2 linked regions of the Kluyveromyces lactis genome follow. The protein of the gene in region 1 purifies or fractionates together with the protein of each later gene. This does not show direct contact. Links are inferred from orthologs where the notes say so. Each region holds a gene or a part of one and is shown on either strand. Other genes may lie near its edges.

The links. Proteins that work in one complex are often made in the same cells at the same time.
Region 2: the proteins of RPT3 (region 1) and ECM29 purify together in Saccharomyces cerevisiae (affinity purification with mass spectrometry; 3 studies listed by BioGRID). This does not show direct contact. The link is inferred for Kluyveromyces lactis from reciprocal best matches to the Saccharomyces cerevisiae genes RPT3 and ECM29.

The regions. Positions count from the first base shown.
Region 1 is NC_006039.1:570,746-574,124, reverse strand, and holds RPT3 (proteasome regulatory particle base subunit RPT3), read right to left. Parts: upstream 1,907-3,379; coding exon 620-1,906; downstream 1-619. Other genes in the region: SMP3 (glycosylphosphatidylinositol-alpha 1,2 mannosyltransferase), read left to right, coding at 1-530; SHE9 (She9p), read right to left, coding at 2,315-3,379. UniProt on the Saccharomyces cerevisiae protein: The 26S proteasome is involved in the ATP-dependent degradation of ubiquitinated proteins. The regulatory (or ATPase) complex confers ATP dependency and substrate specificity to the 26S complex.
Region 2 is NC_006041.1:67,844-71,980, reverse strand, and holds the start of ECM29 (Ecm29p), read right to left. Parts: upstream 2,841-4,137; coding exon 1-2,840. Other genes in the region: membrane morphogenesis protein VPS13, read left to right, coding at 3,203-4,137. UniProt on the Saccharomyces cerevisiae protein: Stabilizes the proteasome holoenzyme, probably by tethering the 20S proteolytic core particle and the 19S regulatory particle.

The sequences.
Region 1 (3,379 bases):
ACAATTTCGATACTTTCTTTCAAGCAGAAACCATCATAACTTCATGGCTCGTCTTTAATATTGTCATGGGATTGATAATGGGAGTATTCCATCAAGCAGGAATAATACCTCTCATATCCTACTTCTCAGGTGAAGAATTCCCTGTTCATATTTGGTGGAAGACATATTCTCCTCCGACGTGGATGTATTCCAATCCTGATCTGACGGTTTCTACCACGAACTTTAAGGAAAATGTAGAGTTTGTCGATAATATACCTTGGCATGTTGTATCAAATCATGTTGTTGATTTAAAAGGTAGTGACATTGAGTTACTAAATAAAACTCTTACAAAATTTTCGGAGAACACAGACTCAATTCAGCTAATCATGCCAAATACTGTTCTCGATAAATTGACCCCCCTTCAGTCGCAATGGAAGTTCATCACAGAATGGGAGACGCAGCAGCATCTCGATTTAGATCACATTGATATGCCAGACTGGACTACCATAAAGCCAGGATTAAGGCTATACAACGTAAGTCTAATAGTTTGAAATATTACTGGCTTATTTTCTATTAGGAATACTTTCCAATATACACTGCATTTACCGATATGTATTGAGTCAAACACAATTAAATTAAATTATTTATAGAAGTCGAATTTATCAACATCGCTACCTGACTTGACTTGTGAAGCATACGCTTCCTCCAAATCGCTTTGTAGGATGACGTATCTGTTCTTTCTGACAGCTCTTAGACCAGCTTCTTGCATAATGGCGGCAATCAAAGCACCAGATAAAGGATCATTTCTGATGATCAAAGAATCTAAATCTGCTTCAGGAGCTAAAGACATCTTTGCAGCTATAGTACCAAAAATTAAACGACGTTCACGCCTGTCCCTTAATGAAGGGAATTCGATCTTTCTGTCTAATCTACCAGGTCTTAACAAAGCTGGATCTAGAGTATCAGCACGATTGGTTGCCATTATAACTTTAACATTTGTTGACTGATCAAAACCATCCATTTGAGTAAGTAACTCAATCAATATACGTTGGACTTCACGATCAGACCCTGTCTGAGCATCGAAACGTTTTGTAGCGATGGAATCCACTTCATCGATGAAAATAATTGATGGTGAGTTTTCTCTTGCCAATCTGAAAACATCTCTAACCATTCTTGGCCCTTCACCTAAGTATTTATGCACAAACTCTGACCCGTTCACTCTGATGAATGCGGCTTCTGTCGCGTTTGCCACGGCCTTAACTAACATAGTTTTGCCAGTACCAGGAGGACCATAAAGTAAAACCCCTCTTGGTGGGTCAATACCAATCTGTTGATACAAATCCGCCTGTACCAAGGGTAGTTCAACAGCTTCTCTTATTTCTTGCTTCTGCATGTCTAACCCACCAACATCGGCATAGGTGACATCTGGCTTTTCATTTGCGGCCATGATTGATATGCTAGAATCTGAATCAGGTGGTAAAATATCCACAAGGGCATTAGAGTGACGATGTAATGCAACTGAAGTTGATGGTTTTAACAGTTCCCTATCTAGAGTCGATAGAATCCTTACGACATAACTCATACCTGTGGTCGAGGAGACGATACCGGTGTTTTCGTCAATCGGTTCCAAAAATTGACCAATGACAAGTGGCACAGATTGGATTCTTTTCACTTCCTCTTGGGCTCTGAGTAATTCCCTCTTCAAATGGCGCTGTTCATCTTTGATATAATCTTCTTGTAATGTCAATAATTCATATTCTTTCTCCAGCTTCTTTAGTTTCAAGTAGACATCTGAATTACCATTCGCCACGGCAAATGAATCATTATTTAGCTGAGCAAGTAGGGAACCATATGATAGACCATTATTCTTTGCACCAAATTCTACACTAAGAACAGGTTGAGGAGTACTAATACCTAGTTCTTCCATAATGTTTTGATCTTAATTCGTCTTTCCCGTAGTGTGTAAATATTCTAACTCCCTTTAGACTATGATCAAATAAAGACGAAAGTATCCGAAAACACAGAAAAGTTCCAATAATATACTGCAATTCCAATAAACTAAGGGGTCAGTCTTACTACTTACACGGATATATGTGTTTGTACCTACATATATTTATAAACGTATCCCCTTCCACACTAAAGTGGTTATGTCAAATCGTTCAGTTTAATAATTGCATTATTTCATTAAAAAGTTAAATCTCATTTTGGGTATTTTGCCACCCATTTTGCAGTCACGTGATCTCGGTTCTTAGACAACTTTTTCGAAGGGCCTACACTGTTTAGAATGTTAACATGATAGGCTACCCACTACGTATATCAATGCACCTGTGTATACTCAAATGCAGTGTCCTAATAGTATACCTAATGATAAAAGTAGTGTGGAGTACGAGTAGAAACAACTCTTGGTGAAAGTGACGGTTGTCTCCGGTAAAAGAGTTACCAACTTATTATAGTATATTGTCCACTGTAAAGAACACCATATCTTAAAGTCAGCAACTATATTTGAAAATGTGAGGATTTTGGGAACTTCCTCCTGATGGGGTTTTGTTTGAGTTTCTTGAAGTTTTTTATCCATCAAATTGTCTATGGTATTTGACATTTCTGAAATTGCCAAGTTTTGTTCCTTTTGATGATCATCAAGCGCCATTTTTACCTTATCTTCGAAAGAACCGACTAACCTCCTTCTCTTCCAAGGTTCTAGCAGTAATTGAAATATTACGAAGAAGAGTATATTTACTCCCATCAAAATAAATGTACCCCATGTCGAAGTTCTTCTGATCTTATCTGACCAGATTTGTTCTTCGTGATACCTTGTAAGAATGGCTCGGTACAAATTCGTTGAAAGTTCCTCCTCCTTAGCCTCAAGTTCTGCGAGTTTTACCTTAGATTGTTCTTCCGTTTGAGAGTTCAATGCGTCATCTCTGTATAGTTGGGTAAATCTATCAAGGTCAGTAGGAGACCACGAATTTTTTCTTTGCAACAATTCATTAACTTCCTTTTGCGATCCCGATCTTGCTTTTATAGCTGTCTCGTACTTTTCCTTTGCTTCATTGACAAGTTTTTTAGTGTCCTTCAGCTCTTCTTCCAATGAGGAAATTGTATTTCTTAACTTCTGAATACTGGAATATCCTGTTACGTCATTCAAAGCTCTGGTGGCTGTGAATATGGTCTCTTGCAATGAATCTAAATACAGTTCCATTTTGCGAGCCCATTTTTTACGATGTCGTTCTCTTTCGCTAGGTAGGTCCTTGATCTTACCTTCAGCGTTATAGTTCAATTTTGAATCGTTACTGTCATTTTCCATCTGAGACAATCTCTCGTTCGCATCCTTTAAAGATTTTTGAGCTTTGTCCCATTGTGTTTTGAAATTCACTGAGTATTCCCGAAGTTTATTAGCTGT
Region 2 (4,137 bases), on another chromosome or scaffold:
GCTTTTTGAAGTGACGGTTTGGTGGAGGAACAAAACGACAAAACTCTATTTAAGCCATCCTGTAATTTTGTTGTCGTCGTTAACTCTTGCAAATGTTTAACATCATAATTGATATCTAGCTGTCTTTCCAACAACTTAGAATTCCATCCACCCAAAATGATTGTTAAACTTTCACCTGAAACAAATAGGTAATCAATATGTTTGGAAGAATGAATTGTCTCATAAACTCCTAAATAATCATCGAATTCAGTTTCATTCGAGTTCATATAGAGATAGCCCCAAGTCATTATAGCTAGCTCATCATTGAATAGCTTGTCTTTTATGGCATCCTTTATTGAAATAGTTATGGACTTCCTGTTAACAGCATCAAGCGAATCCAAAGTTCTATACTTTAAAAGTTCACAATATGCTTTCAAAGACAACTCTCTACAACTACCAGATAAATATTGCTTTGTTATCTTCTGTAAGATTCTTGAAACAACAGTTCCAAATTCAACAGAATGTAGTAACTGCAATCTGGGGATTAAAGATGCCAAAAGGTACACTAAAACCGGTATAATTGCGGATGGATTATTCGATTCCTGATCAAAGTCAGTTGCCAGTATTTGGGACACAGAATGTGAACTTAACCCAATTCTTGCTCCAATAATCCCGAATGAATTTACGAGAGAGTCCGTATAGATGTCAGGCGGACTTTGTTTAGTATTGATTCGTTTTAAAGTGGATGCTAGAATATTCTCGGATTTCATGATAACATCGTTTTTAGCGTAAGTGACAAGAACTAGGAATAACTTGGAGAAAACAGGATCGTCCTTGGAAGAAACATTATTCTCATGTATTATCTCGTTAAATAAGAACAGCAATACCGAAGATACAGTAGATTCTGAGAGATGCTCGATATTTTCATGAACATGTTTCCTTACATTCTCATCGACCTCGAGACTTTTCTCGATGCGCATGGACCAATTTTCATCCTGCAAAACGACAGTTCTCTTACCGTAAATAGAATTGGATATTAATGTGTGCCGAAGGAATCTAACTCCTGTGACAATGCAGTCCTTTATAGAACAGTGTTCACTTTTGTTTTGGGCTTCAGATAAGAATAAAGATATAAATGAGGAAAAGTCAACAAACCTTGTTTCACTTATTTTTTTGGCCAACAAAGTATCCGTTGACACAAAACCAGTTTCCAAAGACGCCCTGTTCATTCTAAACTGATATGGGCTTAGACCTTTGAATGCTTCTTGAACAACATCAAAACGGTTCAATCGGCTAGTCCCTAAAATACTAAAAACTCTTGCCTCATTGTCTTCAAACGGAAATGCGGCATTATTGAATTTCATGCCGACAAATCTCAAGGTCATGATTGCTTCTTTTTCATCAGAGGTACCGTGTAGTAACGCATAATTATCTTTCAGTGTACTAGATAAAAATTGCTTCAACTGCTTTTTTGATTCTGATGGAAGAAGCGGGAAATGATGTACCAAAGACCCCAATGCATCTTTTATTGTTATTCTGAATTCATTAAGATCCCCGTTCAAGGATTCTAATAGAAACTTTACCATTTCAAAATTCTTAACAGAGTCAAAATCTTGCCTCAAAAGCTGACCTAGCGTCTCATATTGTGATGTTCGTAGGGTGATGCCAGACAATTTGTTTTCCTCCTGAGAATTGTACCGTGGCCAACCTGCTAATTGAATATCATTCTTAATAGCAGTAATGATTGAAGTCATATCATTTCCGGTTGTTTCTCGTAACGCTAGGTGATTGTTTTTGGCAACATGACGAATGAAAACCAGGGCAGCTAATTTGACTCTCAGATTGCGACTAGCAATGCCGTCCATTGATATCCTCAGAGGCAAATTGGGTAACCTCGTTATCAGAATACTTCGCGTTAGAAGTCCCAGTATTTTTTCCTGGATTTGAGGATTCACAGGTGGTAGATGCTCAGCAATATTGCCGCAAAACAAATCTGAGAGATATTTAACAAAAGTTTCATCATCATATGGTATCTTAATTCTCTTCAAAAGCGTGGACGCTGAATCTGATATATCGATTGGTTGTGCTGATACCACCAATAAGAATGGTATCAAAATCTGGTCATTACTAGTCAAACCTGAGACAGTAAAATCAAAAATTGCCCTTCTGTATTGGTTTAACAAGTCTTTGGTGAAGTATATGGCAGGGCTATAAATGAAAAATGACACATCAGTGCTAGAGAGACCCGGACAAAAGTAGGAAACTGAGCTACCTTCTGTTCTCTTGGGAACCAATAGAAAAAACTTCAAGAATTTTTCAACCAAAAATCTTAAATCAGAATCATTTACGTTTAAAAAGTCTATCGTTTCTCTTTCCTCTGAGGAACCTTGCAAAGGAGCTTTCCATGTCAACAATACTTTACACAGAATGTGAAATATTCTTGTTTGTGCTGGTGATGATAAGTTGGAAATATCTTCTATTATATCAGGCAAAAGCTCTCTTGATTCCTGTCTACTTATTCTTTCTACCCCTTTGGAAAGGAAAAACGACGAATAAACAATAACATTGGTAGCGTCCTGACCTTCATTCAGATTTGGCTTTTTAACTTGTTGCAATAGCTGCCTCACCGGAAGCTTACAGCGAAAATGAGAATTGACTCTCGACGTGATATGTTTTATGGACTCATAAACCAATTCCCTAACGGATGAATAAGGTGAGGCTAGCTTTAATAATAAAGGCGGCAAAAAAGTGTTCAAAGTCTGCTCGAATTTAGCATCATCTTTTGCCAATACTAGTCTGAGGTCAACCTTCTCAACAAGTGATCTCTCTTGGCCCTCACTCAATTGCTGGAACTTGCTCATTGGACAACATTAACACACGGTTTTATGATGTCTTTCTTCGTACAGTGGCAAATATGTTCAAATTATTTCCAATCTTCTGCTAATAAGATTCACATCTTTAAACTTTCAAACCTTTAAAGTGCAGTAGAATTCCTTTTGCCTGATTTAAATACCTGATTACCCGCACATATCCATGCTATGAAACCTTTTTTTTCAATTGACAGTTTGTCTATTTTTGTATTTACATAAATTCAAAGGGGAGCTGATAGCAATTGAAACCAGAAAAAATAAAACACCAACTTTGCATCAGTCCACCCTAAAGCACCAATAGAGAATCTAAATAGCTCACAACAGTAATAAATCAACGATAGAGAGCCTAATAAATGTTAGAATCTCTTGTCTCTGCTCTTTTAAACCGATTTTTGGGTGCCTATGTCGAGAATTTCGATCCAACCCAACTTAACGTTGGCATATGGAACGGGGATGTTAAATTACGCAACTTGCGTTTAAGAAAGGATTCATTAGATGCATTGGATCTACCTATCGATGTAAAGTTTGGATATTTGGGAGAATTGACTTTGTTAATCCCATGGTCCAGTTTAAAAAATAAACCAGTGAAGATCATAATTGAAGATGTGTATATGTTATGCGCTCCACGGACACCGGAGTCATATAATGTGGAGGAACAAATTGAGCGCGAGCTCAAAGTAAAACTTCAGCGTCTGGCAGATTTTGAACTCGCCAACAGTTCCAAACCAGATATCAATTTAGATTCTAATCGCAATGAATCTTTTACACAATCCTTGTTGACCAAAATTGTCGATAACCTTCAGGTAACGGTGAAGAATATTCATATGAGGTATGAAGATATGAATTCAGTGTTCAGTGAAGGACCATGCGCATTTGGTATTTCATTAAGTGAGCTCTCTGCAGTATCCACTGATGAATCCTGGAATCCCAGTTTCATCTCCATTAAACAACAAATTACTCATAAATTGGCTACCCTAGATTCTATTAGTATATACTGTAACACAGGCACAGAATCGATAGAAACGGACGACTCTGAGGAACTTTTGATTAGATTACGCGAATCAATTGCCGATAACCGAGGCGCTCCAGAATATCAATACCTCTTGAAACCGGTCAGAGGATCGGCTAGACTCAAAATGAATAAAGCTGGTGCCACTGAAGATGCTCCTCATATCGATGTGCAATTAATGTTTGATGAATTTGCTCTTGTGTTAGATGATTGTCAGTATAAGGAAGTCCTTCACAATCTGTCGAAGTACCACTGGTTCCATAAAACTTTGAAGTACAG